Macaca mulatta: one gene and its partner. The protein of the gene in region 2 purifies or fractionates together with the protein of the main gene of each other region. This does not show direct contact. Links are inferred from orthologs where the notes say so. Each region holds a gene or a part of one and is shown on either strand. Other genes may lie near its edges. The genes, in order: SIRT1 and FGF11.

Region 1 (6,658 bases), on a different chromosome or scaffold from region 2:
ATCATGCCATTGCACTCCAGCCTGGGCAACAGAGCAAGACTCCATCTCAAAAAAAAAAAAAGAAGAGAAAAAGTAAAAACTTCAAAAAATATACATATATTTTTGAAACACTCTTGCTCTGTTGCCCAGGGTGGAATGCAGTAGCAGATCATCGTTCACTTTGAGTCTTGAGCTCCTGAGCTTAAGGGATCTTCCCACCTCAGACTCCTGAGTGGCTAGGTCTACAGGTGCACACCACCATGCTCAGCAAATTTTATTATTTATTTTGTAGAGACGGAGTCTCATTATGTTGCTCAGGCTGGTCTCAAACTCCTGGGCTCAACTGATCCTCCTACCTTGGCCTCCCAAAGTGCTGAAATTACAGGCATGATGCAACATGCACAGCCCAAAATACATTTTATTTAACCCAGTATCAAAAGTACTTCAAAAGAATTCAAAATTAATTTTAAAAAGTATTTTTTCCGGCCGGGCGCGGTGGCTCACGCCTGTAATCCCAGCACTTTGGGAGGCCGAGGCGGGCGGATCACAAGGTCAGGAGATCGAGACCACGGTGAAACCCCGTCTCTACTAAAAATTACAAAAAATTAGCCGGGCACGGTTGTGGGCGCCTGTAGTCCCAGCTACTCGGGAGGCTGAGGCAGGAGAATGGCGTGAACCCGGGAGGCGGAGCTTGCAGTGAGCCGAGATCGCGCCACTGCACTCCAGCCTGGGCTGGGCGACAGAGTGAGACTCCGTCTCAAAAAAAAAAAAAAAAAAAAAAAAAGTATTTTTTCCATATAAAAACCAATATTTGTTTAACATTTGATAAGTAAAACTAATGAAATACTTTGTATTTTCCATACTGGATCTCTAAAATCTGATATATCTTTTACACTTATTGCACATGTAAATATATTTCAAGTACTCAACAGCCACATGTGGCTAGTGGCTTCTGAACTGGACAGTGCAACTATACAGAATAAGGCTCCTCTGCAATTTGCTGACAAAAATGCAACCCAAGAATCTTCCCATTCTCTAATTAGAAATGATTTTTCAGGCACATCCTTGTTAAAATTTGACTACAGAACACCAAAGTAATGTTATAACGCCTTTACAATCTCTAATAAAATATTAAAAATCACAAGTTATGTTACTTTTATATGGTGTACAAACCTCTTTAAAAAGCCCAGGCAGAATAATGACCATTGCTGAAGGGCAAATTTTAAAAATATGAAACTGTCTCTTTGAAAATAAGCTCACTCTAAAATGAAGTAGATGATAGTCCTTCTCTAGGAATAAGGGAATTCTGGCCATAATGAGTGATCTTCCTCCGCCACAGTAGCAGCATCCACTTTACTAAACAATGAATGATAACCTTAAGGTGGCTATATATGAACAAAATACATTTTCATGAGAGAAAGCCAAAGAAACAACCAGAAGAGTTCATAGTACCTTTGCAAACTTGAAGAATGGTCTTGGATCTTTTCTGAAATATTCAATATCAAACATCGCTTGAGGATCTGGAAGATCTGGGAAGTCTACAGCAAGGCGAGCATAAATACCATCCCTTGACCTGAAGTCAGGTATTCCACATGAAACAGACACCTAAAATGTGCATGGCATAATTTGTAAAATTAAATCTTCTACCTTTACAGGAACTAGCTAGCTCTCTTACCATATAATTAGCTAAGAGTTGAGAAAGAAAATTTTAGAATGAAATGTCTTTTAAGAAATAAAAATGGCCGGGCGCGGTGGCTCAAGCCTGTAATCCCAGCACTTTGGGAGGCCGAGACGGGCGGATCACGAGGTCAGGAGATCGAGACCATCCTGGCTGACACGGTGAAACCCTGTCTCTACTAAAAAATACAAAAAACTAGCCGGGCGAGGTGGCGGGCGCCTGTAGTCCCAGCTACTTGGGAGGCTGAGGCAGGAGAATGGCGTGAACCCGGGAGGCGGAGCTTGCAGTGAGCTGAGATCCGGCCACTGCACTCCAGCCTGGGTGGCAGAGCGAGACTCCGTCTCAAAAAAAAAAAAAAAAAAAAAAAAAAAAAAAAAAAAAAAAAAAAAAGAAATAAAAATACGCCGGGCGCGGTGGCTCACGCTTGTAATCCCAGCACTTTGGGAGACCGAGGCAGGTGGATCACCTGAGGTCGGGAGTTCAAGACCAGCCTGACCAACATGGAGAAACCCCGTCTCTACTAAAAATACAAAATTAGCCGGGGTGGTGGCACATGCCTGTAATCCCAGCTACTCGGGAGGCTGAGGCAGGAGAATTGCTTGAACCCGGGAGGCGGAGGTTGCGGTGAGCCGAGATCGCGCCATTGCACTCCAGCCTGGGCAAAAAGAGTGAAACTCTGTCTCAAAAAATAAATAAATAAATAAATAAATAATAAAAATACAACCCTACCCCTTTTTTTTATTTATTTTTTTTTTTCCGAGACGGAGTCTCGCTCTGCCGCCCAGGCTGGAGTGCAATGGCCGGATCTCAGCTCACTGCAAGCTCCGCCTCCCAGGTTCACACCATTCTCCTGCCTCAGCCTCCTGAGTAGTTGGGACTACAGGCGCCCGCCACCGCGCCCAGCTAGTTTTTTGTAGTTTTTAGTAGAGACGGGGTTTCACCGTGTTAGCCAGGATGGTCTCGATCTCCTGACCTCGTGATCCGCCCGTCTCGGCCTCCCAAAGTGCTGGGATTACAGGCTTGAGCCACCGCGCCCGGCCACAACCCTACCCTTATTTCAGAAATAAAACTCCCAAATAACTGAGAAGAATTAAATACACCTCATATTCCATCTTTAACACAAATAAGGAATTTTTAAGTCAGGCTAATTTTAAGCCTTTTAAGCATTTAGCCAACAAATTAAAGCAAATACAATTTGAGAAGAAAATAAACCATTTCAATAAATTATTTTAAGGAGAAAGTAGGGAAGAATTTTTTTTTTTTTGAGACGGAGTCTTGCTCTATTGTCCAGTCTGGAGTGCAGTGGCACGATCTCAGCTCACTGCAAGCTACACCTCCCAGGTTCACACCATTCTCCTGCCTCAGCCTCCCGAGCTGCTGGGACTACAGGCGCCCGCCACCACGCAGGGATAATTTTTTGTATTTTTAGTAGAGACAGGGTTTCACCGTGTTAGCCAGGATGGTCTCAATCTCCTGACCTTGTGATCTGCCCACCTCGGCCTCCCAAAATACTGGGCTTACAGGTGTGAGCCACCGTGCCTGGCCTTTTGTTCTTTTTTTTTTTTAAGACACTTTCGCTCTAATGCCAGGCTGGAGTGCAGTGGTGCCATCATGGCTCACTGTGGCCTCAACTTTTCCGGCTCAAGCAATCCTCCCACCTCAGCCTCCTGAGTAGCTGGGACTACAAGTACACACGAGCACACCAGGCTAATTTTTTGTAGAGACAGGGTCTATGTTGCTCAGGGTGATGTCGAACTCCAGGGCTCAAGTGATCCTCCCACTTTAGCCTCCCAAAGTGCTGGAATTACATGCATGAGGCACTCCACCAGCCAAGAATTTCTATTACAGAAAAATAATTCCAAAGAAATTGCTCCTTTAGTTAGGATTCTATTACCTCAATACTACAATTTTCTTTTTCATTAAAAAAACAATGTATAGCCAGGCGCGGTGGATCACGCCTGTAATCCTGGCGCTTTGGGAGGCCAAGGTGGGCAGATCACGAGGTCAGGAGTTTGAGACCAGCCTGGCCAATATGGCGAAACCCTGTCTCTACTAAAAATACAAAAATTAGCTGGGTGTGGTGGCGTGTGCCTGTAATCCCAGTTACTCGGGAGGCTGAGGCAAGAGAACTGCTTGAACCCGGGAGGCAGAGGTTGCAGTGAGCCAAAAGACTGTGCCACTGCACTCCACCAGCCTGGGCAACAGAACAAGACTCTGTCTCTCTTGAAAAAAAAAAAAAAAAAAAGGAAACAAACACTGTACAGGCCAGGAGATGCTGAGGTTGCAGTGAGCCATGATGGCACCACTGCACTCCAGCCAGGGCAACACAGCAAGACGCTGTATCCAAAAAAAAAAAAAAAATGTAATATTTCAATTATTCATTTCTTTGAGACTTATGCACTAATCGTACAAAAAAATCCTGACATTTCAGATAGCGATTCCAGAAGTTATTGTTTCATCATCTTACCAGAGTTGACTCCAATTTGACCTGGAGTCAAGGTCAATTCAAGTTAAACAAACTTGTCTACATCGTTATCTGTGAGCAAAACATTCTCCTGATGATCATCTAAGATTATGCAACACCCTTTCACAACTCGAAACAGCAGAAAACAGGACAAAATTTTACAGCAGTTGCTCTGGCTGCTAACATGTAATATACTCTGCATAAAACACACACTATGCAATAGCCTTAGGTAACTAATTAGCTGCAACCCTAACGTAGATCAAAGAGAACATGTCGCCACAATCACATCATCTTAATTAAAACGGAGGGAAGGCAGGAATCTGTTATCTTCCCAACGTTAAGTTTTTCACTTGTGAATACCAAGTAGGTTTCCAGTTTCTCATAAAGATCGAACAAATAGCCAATTTCTCCATCAGACTCTGACATCCCTTAACAAAAGCAGTTTCAATTCCCTGCATCTCCTTTAGGAGCTGTAATAAAATGCAGGTAAAAATCTTGCCTTAACTCCATTTATCCAGTGTGCTATAAATAAGCAGAAGCAAATATTTTTTTAAGGCTGTTGGAGAGGTTTTAAAAATCTGAACTAATTTAGCAACTGCTGCTGCACTCAGTTTTTGGCAGTTTCCAAACATCCATTATCACGTAAGGATAAATCTTTCTAAACCAGAAAAATGCTTCCTACTTGGAAAAGGCATGAGAAAATACATATACGACTTCCCACATTTACTAGTCTTACATACCCCAGCTCCAGTTAGAACTATAATTTTTTTGCACTCTTGCAGTAATTTCACAGCATCTTCAATTGTATTAATATCTTTTCTTTTTTTCCTTTTTGGTGGTTCTGAAAGGATATTAATAACAATCTGCCACAGTGTCATATCATCCAACTCAGGTGGAGGAATTGTTTCCGGCAATAAATCTTTAAGAATTGTTCGAGGATCTGTGCCAATCATAAGATGTTGCTGAACAAAAGTATATGGACCTACAATAAGGGGGAAAAGACTTAAAGTCAACTTATCAAGTAACTAAAAATCTCATTTATTTTCTGAAGTAATGAGTTAGTAACCTGTGAGGGTTTTTTGCAAAGTAAGAAAATGCAATTTAATGGTATTCTATTCTCAGTACACCCTCAAAATTAATGCTATATCCCAATGAGATTAGGAAGATCTAATCAAGAGTTGGGAAGACCCCCTTGAGCTATAAGTATATATTTTAAGAGTCTAATTAACAACTAGAATTAAGTTCTTATGGTTAATACCTAGAAATACACAGTAACAAAAGTATTTACCAAAGGGTTCTACAAATCAACACAGAAAAGATCTTACCAGTCCTAAAAGCCTGTATTACTTATCATTAAAACCACACAGGAAAAATAAATGAAAATCTATACATAACTGCCATCTTAATTTTTTTCCGGTAATTTTTCAATTTGATCTTAACCAATCTTCCAAGATAATACATACAATGTTGATGTTCTGAGAAATAATCATTTTCTTTTACCCTGAAATTGCTCAAACCAGCTCCCTAGCTTGAGAAAACCAAAAAAAATTAATAAATAAATCAGACACCAAAGAGAAACTGATCTTCACTGTTTAAATAGTCAAGCCATTTGTAAGAGTGAGAACATAAAAAGATCCACTTTCAAGATGGTTATGTTATACCTTTGGTATAAAAAAACTGATAATGCTTTCTATATCGAAATACTTTCCCGCTTCATTCACATATTTATTAAGTATTTACTGAGCACAAACTATGTGCCAGGCACTTTTTTAGGCACTGACAAGACAGGAGTATACAGGTCAGTCAAAAATTCCTGCTCCCATCGAGCTTATATTCTAGACCAGGAAACAATACAATTTAAAAAATAAGATACAGAGCTTGTCAAGAAGTGGTAAGTGTAAAATAAAGTGAAAAAAACAAAGAAGGAATATGAAGTGAGGGAGGAAGATATTCTAACTGGATGAAGAACACTACACAAAAAGGGTACAAATGAGGCTGGGAGAGGTGGCTCATGCCTGTAATCTCAGCACTTTGGGAGGCTGAGGCGGGCGGATCACCTGAGGTCGGGAGTTCAAGACCAGCCTGACCAACATGGTGAAACCCCGTCTCTACTAAAAATACAAAATTAGCCGAGCATAGCGGTATATGCCTGTAATCCCAGCTGCTCAAGAGGCTGAGGCAGGAGAATCGCTTGAACACGGAAGGCGGAGGGTGCGGTAAGCCGAGACTGCGCCATTGCACTCCAGCCTGGGCAACAAGAGCGAAACTCTGCCTCAAAACAAAATTATCAAAAAACATACATTTACTCTCTAAAGTTAACAGCTCTGAGCCATACCTATCCGTGGCCTTGGAGTCCAGTCACTAGAGCTTGCATGTGAGGCTCTATCCTCCTCATCACTTTCACAAGAATGAAAACCATTAGTGATAATTTCATCACCGAACAGAAGGTTATCTGCAAAAGAAACCAAGTCAGTCAAGGCTGCCAAAACAATATGCACCTAAAATGTATGAAGACCTATAAACGGTTATAGAGCAAT
Region 2 (6,758 bases):
AGTCCCAGGCAAAATGTCTGTAGTTGAGGAAGACTGTCATTCCCTCAAGGGATAAATTGAGGAAGGGGAGTTCCCGGTATTCCCCAGCCACTCAGCCTCATTGTCTCACCGAACTATAGAGCAGTCCCTCAGCATTCATGGCCATGTAGTGACCCAGCTTGGCGCTCTGGATGGTGACCACACGGAGGCCTACAGGGATCAGGTTGAAGTGGGCTGGGGGTGGAGAGAGGGAACATCAATACCCAGGCCTCTGACCCTCACCTGAGCTCCCCTCATCCCAGCTCCGCATTTTCCCTTAGGGGTCAGGAAGACGGACCAATGGCAACAGAAGCTGAAGAGGGAATAGGATTGTCATCTGCTGTCCCCATTCTCCCCCTTCCCACCCGGCGGCCAGCTTCCCCTCTCACTGAAGGAGCTGGTATCCTCTGGGGTGCCCTGGATACTTCCGTCGGGATTCGCCTGGAGGTAGAAACCCTGGCGGCAGAACAGTTTGGTGACGATGCCTTTGAGCTGAGGCTCTGGAGAGAGAGACATTCATCTTTGAAAATGACATCTCTGTTCCCAGAAACATTCCTACACTTGGCAGGATCAGAGGATGAAAGGAGAATGACAGGAAGGAAGAGGGTCCCAGGGCCCCAGCTCTCTTACCCTCCAAGCACGCTCTCTCCCACCTCCCTTTCACTCCTGGGAAAGCTGATGTGGGTCCCTTCTGCTTCCTATAACCAGGAGCTTTCAGTGTAATTTATTGAAATTTATTTAAATGGCTTAATTCCTACCCTACAGCTTAACCAGAAGCGGGGAGGAGTGGGGGAGGAGGGAGGGGAGAGATATATCAAAAGGCAGGGACAGAGGGAGACCAGCAGGGGTACCGAAGGGGCAGTGTGTTTGCGAAGGTGGGGGACAGTGGCAGCAGCAAATTGACCACAGGGTAGGGGCTCTCCCTCAGGGGTGGGGGTGGGACTGGGCCTGACGCTGACTCAGCACCTGCTGCGGCTGCCGCTAGCTTGGCGAGAGCCTTGCCTTGGCCCGGTGCCGGTCTGTCTGACACTGACCCGTCTGTCTGTCTGTCTGTCTGCTGGCTCGCGGGGGCCCAGCTCTCCCTGAGGCTCAGCCTCTCCCCTTCGGCCAGGTAACCCGCCTGGGGTAAGGGGGACATCACCAAGGATATGGGGGGTGGGAGCTGAGGAGATGGAAAGGCAGGCTGAGTCACGTGGGGGCCCGGTCCCACTCAGAGGGTGGGCTGCGGATTGTACCACTATGGGCAGCCGGTGGCGCGGGGAGGAGGGCGCGAGGGGGCTACCCTTAAGGGAGTTGGGAGCGGGCGGGAGCAGGGCCAGAGGGACTCCCTGACTGTCGCACCTGGACGGGGACCACACTCTAACTCTCAGAACTCTCCTCCCCCATCGCTTGCTCTCTGCCGACTTCCCTGTCCCCCCTTGTAGGTGGTACGACCCCCAAGAGTCTGCGCCCATCTCTAGCCGTGAACTGTGTCTGAGTTCCTCCCAGCGTAGGGTCCCCTGAGCCTACGGGACCCGATTTCGGAGTGGCGCGGGGGTTATGGGAGGGGGTGCCCAGCTCCGTTCTTGAAGCGCAGGTCACGGGAGGAGGGCGCATAGAGGGCTGGCTGGCGAGGTAGCTGCAAGGACACCCGAGGGAGAGCTGGGGAGATTGGCTCGGAGCCAGAAGAGCTCGACCAGGAGGAACCGAGCCCAGGCGTGGAGGAGCGGGAGAACCGGGGCGGGCAGGGGCTGGGGGGGCGTGCTGCTGGAGCTGCAGAAACCCTTGGGGTGACCCAGGCATCTGGAAACCCCCAGGCCTCTCCGCTCCAGATTGAAAGAATCGCGAGAACCTGCACGTAGGCGGAGGACGATGGGGGTGGGGACTGCTGTGTTGGGAAGGGGGGACAAGCAGGAACTGCGAGGCTTTCGGGGATACAGACTTAGCCCCTCAAGCCTTCCCCTTGACCTCGAAAATAAGGAGACTCCGGGTTATGGACTAAAGAGAAGGGAAACTGAGGCACAGTCTGGCAGGGACTTTGTAGTCCTGGCCCACCCCCTTCCACTTTCGAGGAGCCCCTCAGCCGGGCCCTATCCTTCAGAGTCCCTGGCCTCAATCTCCCAGGCAGAGAAACCTCTGGCCGGGAGACCCCGCCCCAGCCGCACTCACCCGGGCCGCGGTCCGGCCGCGCGGGCCGCCCCCCGCACAGTCGCACCTTGGACAGCAGGATGAGGAGCTGCTTCTGGCAAAGGGACTTGGTGCCGCGGGGACACACCCGCCGCTGTGCCGACACCGGCCGGCTGCCCCCGGGCTCGCGGACCTCCCGCTTCTGCCGGATCAGGCTACTGGCCAGCGCCGCCATGGCGCCCCGGGAGGAGACACCCCCAAACCGGCCAGCGCCAGGAGCGCGCTGGGCTCCAGCCCGCTCACTAGGGCATGCTCTTGACGCTCAGGCCCCGACTCGCTGCCCCACCCACAGGACCTGAGGATAAGCCCCAGAACCCCCCACCCCACGTACACCCCTCCACAGCAGCCAGTTGCCACCCGTGGGCCCAGTGCTGGCTCCACCGGATCCAGCAGCCTATGTACTCCTCAGTGGATCCCACCCTCGAGTTTTGCCTCCTACTGAAAATGTCCCCTTTCCCTCCTCTCCAGTGTCTGTCCCCACTTCACCTATCCCAAAACCAAGACCCCCCAAATTTCCAAGACGTGGTTAAAATATCTCCAGGCACCTTTCCACTGTATTTGGGGGCACACTTCTACCAAATCCACTCTTGTAATCTACAGGGTGTGGGACTTTAGCTTTGGGGATATTCGCTCATCCCACCCCTACCGGGGCACTGCCAATGTCAGGAAGGAACCCAACCTTGGTGTTTTTTCCTTTGCTACACTCTAAATGGAGGGGATCCCCCACTTTTTTCACTGAAATCTCCCCAAAATATGTCTCAGAGTATCCAGGTTGCCCAGATTCAGTAAGACGGGGCTCCCAGACCCTCTGGCTGGATAACAGCTTTTTCACCAAGTCACCCCCATGTCTAGTAGCATAGAATTCTAGCGGCCAAGACCGTTTCTTCACCTTCACACCCTCCGCTCCTTTTGAAGTCACCTCCAAATCCACCCTTCCTAGTGGATACACCACGTAGTTGTCTGGAGGGCCTTCCACCACCTCAAAATGAGGAGCATCCGTGTTTGCTTTTTTTTTCTCCCCTGGCTGCCCCTTAAATTTTCTTGGGGACAGCTGGTGCTGTTTAGATCCCACGCCCTCCAATCTAACCAGCCCCCCGAGAGAGGAGTGCACCCACGTTGTCACCAGTCCCCAAATGTGAACAGGCCCCCCACAAGTCAGAGCGGATCACAGCTTCCTGCGACAGGGCTTCCTCGTCCTCCCCGGGATTGCCTATAGCACCCCCTCTTCCTTTCCCCGACGCCCCTCAACCTGTCCTGTCCTGTTGATCCGGCGACGGGTGGCGCTGGCTTCGGCTCCAGGCTCCTCCCTCCCTGTCCCCCGCAAACGGAGCTTCCCCCCACGCCCGGCTAGGCGTCCCGGACCCTGGGGAAGGAGTGAGGGTGTCTCTGCAGAGCTCCCCGGTCCGGCGAAGTCAGAGCACTGGGCCGGTGGCTGGACCAGGCAGAGCGGCGGCAGCGGCGGCAGCGGCAGCGGCTGTGGGAAGCTGAGGCGGCGGCGGCGGCGACAGCAGTTCCCCCTCCTCGGAGAGCCGGCCCGGGGGCGGGGCAGGGGGCGGAGACGCTGGGAAATAGGAGGGTGAAGCCGGGCAGGAGGAACCCCGGGGTTCCTTGGAGGTAGAGAGCGCGGACTGTGTCTTACAAGCAGGCAAAGCCGAGGCAAGGCCGCACGTCTCAGCCTTCAGAGAAGGAGGGACAAGAAGGCCTCCCGAACGCACCTCTGGATAGGAAGGAGAGGTTGGGCCCAAGGGAGATGGAATGGCGGACGCTGGGAGAATGGAAAGGGACCCTACTAGCCGGGATGTTAGCGAGGACAGAACAGCACGAGGAAAGTGGGGGAAGAACTGGAGAGATGGAGGAGGGGTAGTGGTGAGATCCAGCCTCGGGCGAAATCCGGCCTCCTTCATATCTCTGCCTTTGTGTGTGAGCCAAATTGATCAGACCCTGGTCTCCATAACTCCTTTCCGCGTTTGGTCAGCAAACATGTTTCTCCCATTTCTATTGACCCTTAAGAGAAATGACCAAAAGAACTGGGGACAGACGGTTTCTGGAAGCTGCCCCTGGGCGGAGTGCTGGCCACAGAAGTGTAGAGTAGCGAGGCTGGAATGGGGCAACTTGTGCCGGGGCAGGCGGGTGGTCCTAGAGGAGGAACCAACAGGGAGGCCTTCCAGAAGGGGGGCTTCAGGCCCAGGGCACACAGTCAGTCCCCCAGGCGAGGGGCGAGCTGTGCCCCCCACGTCTCGCTCGCCCACAGAGGCACTTTCCACTGGTAGGAACAGCATCTTTAATGGGCCCCGCCCCCCACGCCGGCCAAACCGCCCCCTTTGCGGGCCACCTTGGCCTCCTCCACCGCGGCACGGAGGGCCCGGGCAGGGTCCCCGCGGAGCCGGACCAATTCTCCGAGCAGCGCAGCGGAGCCGTCCCCGGTACGGAGCTCTCGGCCGTTCAGAAAATAGTGAGGCAAAGTCCCAGCCTCGAGCACTCGGCCCAGCTCGTCTAGCAGCCCGAGGCAGCAGGCGCCCGCATTTTCTGGCCGCGCCAGGTAGAGCGCGGGCAGCCGCTCGCACGCCCAGTACAGCAGCGTCCGCAGGAGGTAGGGCGCCGCTGCCCGGGTCCCGGCCACCAGCGGGCGCAGTAGCGCCTGGGCCGCCGCGTGCGCCTGTAGCAGCGGCGCTGGTATGCGCGCTTTGAGCGCCAGCTCCTGGCGGGCGAAACAGAGCTGCCAGGCGGAGGCGCACGGTCGCTCGGTGCCGCCACCGGGCACCAGGTAGAAGGAAGCTGACTCAGAGGCCAGAGGACCAGCCCATGAGTGGCTCCGAGCCCCCTCGGGCCAGCCGGCCACGGATACCACTGGGATCAGGTCGAAGAGCAGGAGGCGGCGAGGGGGATCAGGAGTAGCCAGAAGGACGGTGGTGAAACCCGCGTGGCGAGCTGCGTGCACCAGACGCGGAGCACCCGGGACAGGGATCAGAGACTCGGCGACGGCCGCCAGCGTAGCAAAGAACCAGGTAGCCACCTGGGAGGGACATAATGTGGGCCACGCTTCCCGAGCCTCCGACGGCTTTGGGACTGGGCTTTCGACGTCTGCCTTGGTGACGTCACTACTCAGTGTTTTCAAAGGCGCGCTAGAGCCAAGGTCGACGACGTCATACTGAGGCAACTCGGACGATGAAACGTCACTAGGTGATTTTTCCAAAGACACTGGCGCCTCGTGCTCAGTGACGTAGCTGTGCGGCTGGTCTACAGAGCTTTGCCAGTCCTTGGAACTTTCTTCGATCTCCGTTCGGTGGATCGAATCACGTGCTCCTGGGACTGGGGGTCCTAAGCAATCCTGCCACATCTCCCGGATAGGGGTTCCGCACACCAGCTCTGGGAGGCAGACCTGTGCGTAACAGGATTCCAGGTCCAGTTGCACTTCAGTGCCGTCCAGTGAAAACATGGGCACTAGGAGTGTGAAGCCGGCATCGTAGTGAGGTCCTCGGGCGTAGGGACCCAGGGGTGCATGCCCCAGATCCAGGGAGCCCTCGCGAATCCCACCACGAAGCAGCAAGAGCTCTGCCTGGGGAGGAAAGCGAGGGTCCCGGCGGTGAACTAGACCTAAAAAATGGAACGGATCGTGAGGGTGTCGCCCAAAGCCGGGGCGGGGGCGGGGGCGTAGTGAGGCTGAGAGCTGTGAGCTCCCAAAGGCAAGTAGGGTTACTTACCAAGCAAAGAGAAGACAAAGTCCTTGGCCCGGAGGAGATCGGCTCCGGGCTTGGGCCCGTCACTCCAGCTCTCCTGCACACCCAGCTCCTGGATCAGCTGCGTCAATTCCTGCAGCTGTGCCCCGGAGCAGAAGTCGATGTCCGTGAGCGGCCGAGCTGGGGCCGGGGGCGGCGGGCCCCACCAGGGGGCACTCCCCCAGACCGCGGAAGCCATGCGGTTCTATCGTTTCGGGCTAGGGAAAGCACGGAAGGGAGGTGGCCTAGACGGGCCTTTCCTTTGCTGCCAAAAAGTCGTCCCCGTTCTTCCCTCTTTCTGAAGCAGAGCGAGTGCCCCAGACACAAGCTACAAATGGGTCTGTAGATGATGGATTCCAAATTTAGTCCTCAAAATGAACAAATAAATACCTCCTCTATCCTGGCCCTTTTCTCATATGCAGTTCCCCGCCCGCATGAACTGGTTCACCGAACTCAGCAGGTAGAAAGTAACTGTTGCGCCTCCCACGGAATGCAGTAGCCAGGCTCCGCCGCCGCCCCTTGTCTACCTCCCTTTACCTCTTTTGGAAGAGGCTTATTGGTCAGCGGCTTCCCCCTTATGGGAAGCAGTAAGGGTGGGGAGGAGAAATAGATTCAACAGGTTACTTCTTCCTGATGCCCACGTGGCCACGCCCCTACATTTTCGGCCACGCCCCTTTCTGGAGGCTGTCGGGGTGGTTTCTGCCAGGTCGGGTCGCCAGTCAGAGCTCAGTCACTCCTTTAGCCCTGCTGAGATCCCGCGTTATCCTGGGAGTTGTAGTTTCCCGCTCTACTAGGGCGTAGGAGCCACGCCCCCACATCCTTTCCTGTTGGGCTGAAGTAGTGCCTGATGGAAGTTGT

The links.
Region 1: the proteins of FGF11 (region 2) and SIRT1 purify together in Homo sapiens (affinity purification with mass spectrometry; 3 studies listed by BioGRID and IntAct, with this or other methods). This does not show direct contact. The link is inferred for Macaca mulatta from reciprocal best matches to the Homo sapiens genes FGF11 and SIRT1.

The regions. Positions count from the first base shown.
Region 1 is NC_133414.1:81,874,800-81,881,457, forward strand, and holds part of SIRT1 (NAD-dependent protein deacetylase sirtuin-1), read right to left. Parts: intron 6,574-6,658; coding exon 6,457-6,573; intron 5,104-6,456; coding exon 4,862-5,103; intron 1,585-4,861; coding exon 1,432-1,584; intron 1-1,431. UniProt on the Homo sapiens protein: NAD-dependent protein deacetylase that links transcriptional regulation directly to intracellular energetics and participates in the coordination of several separated cellular functions such as cell cycle, response to DNA damage, metabolism, apoptosis and autophagy.
Region 2 is NC_133421.1:8,921,248-8,928,005, reverse strand, and holds the start of FGF11 (fibroblast growth factor 11), read right to left. Parts: upstream 3,727-6,758; 5' UTR 2,360-3,726; coding exon 2,167-2,359; intron 1,209-2,166; exon of another isoform or gene 1,157-1,208; coding exon of another isoform or gene 985-1,156; intron 938-984; exon of another isoform or gene 535-937; coding exon of another isoform or gene 519-534; coding exon 408-518; intron 214-407; coding exon 110-213; intron 1-109. Other genes in the region: TMEM102 (transmembrane protein 102), read right to left, coding at 4,466-5,778, 5,886-6,099.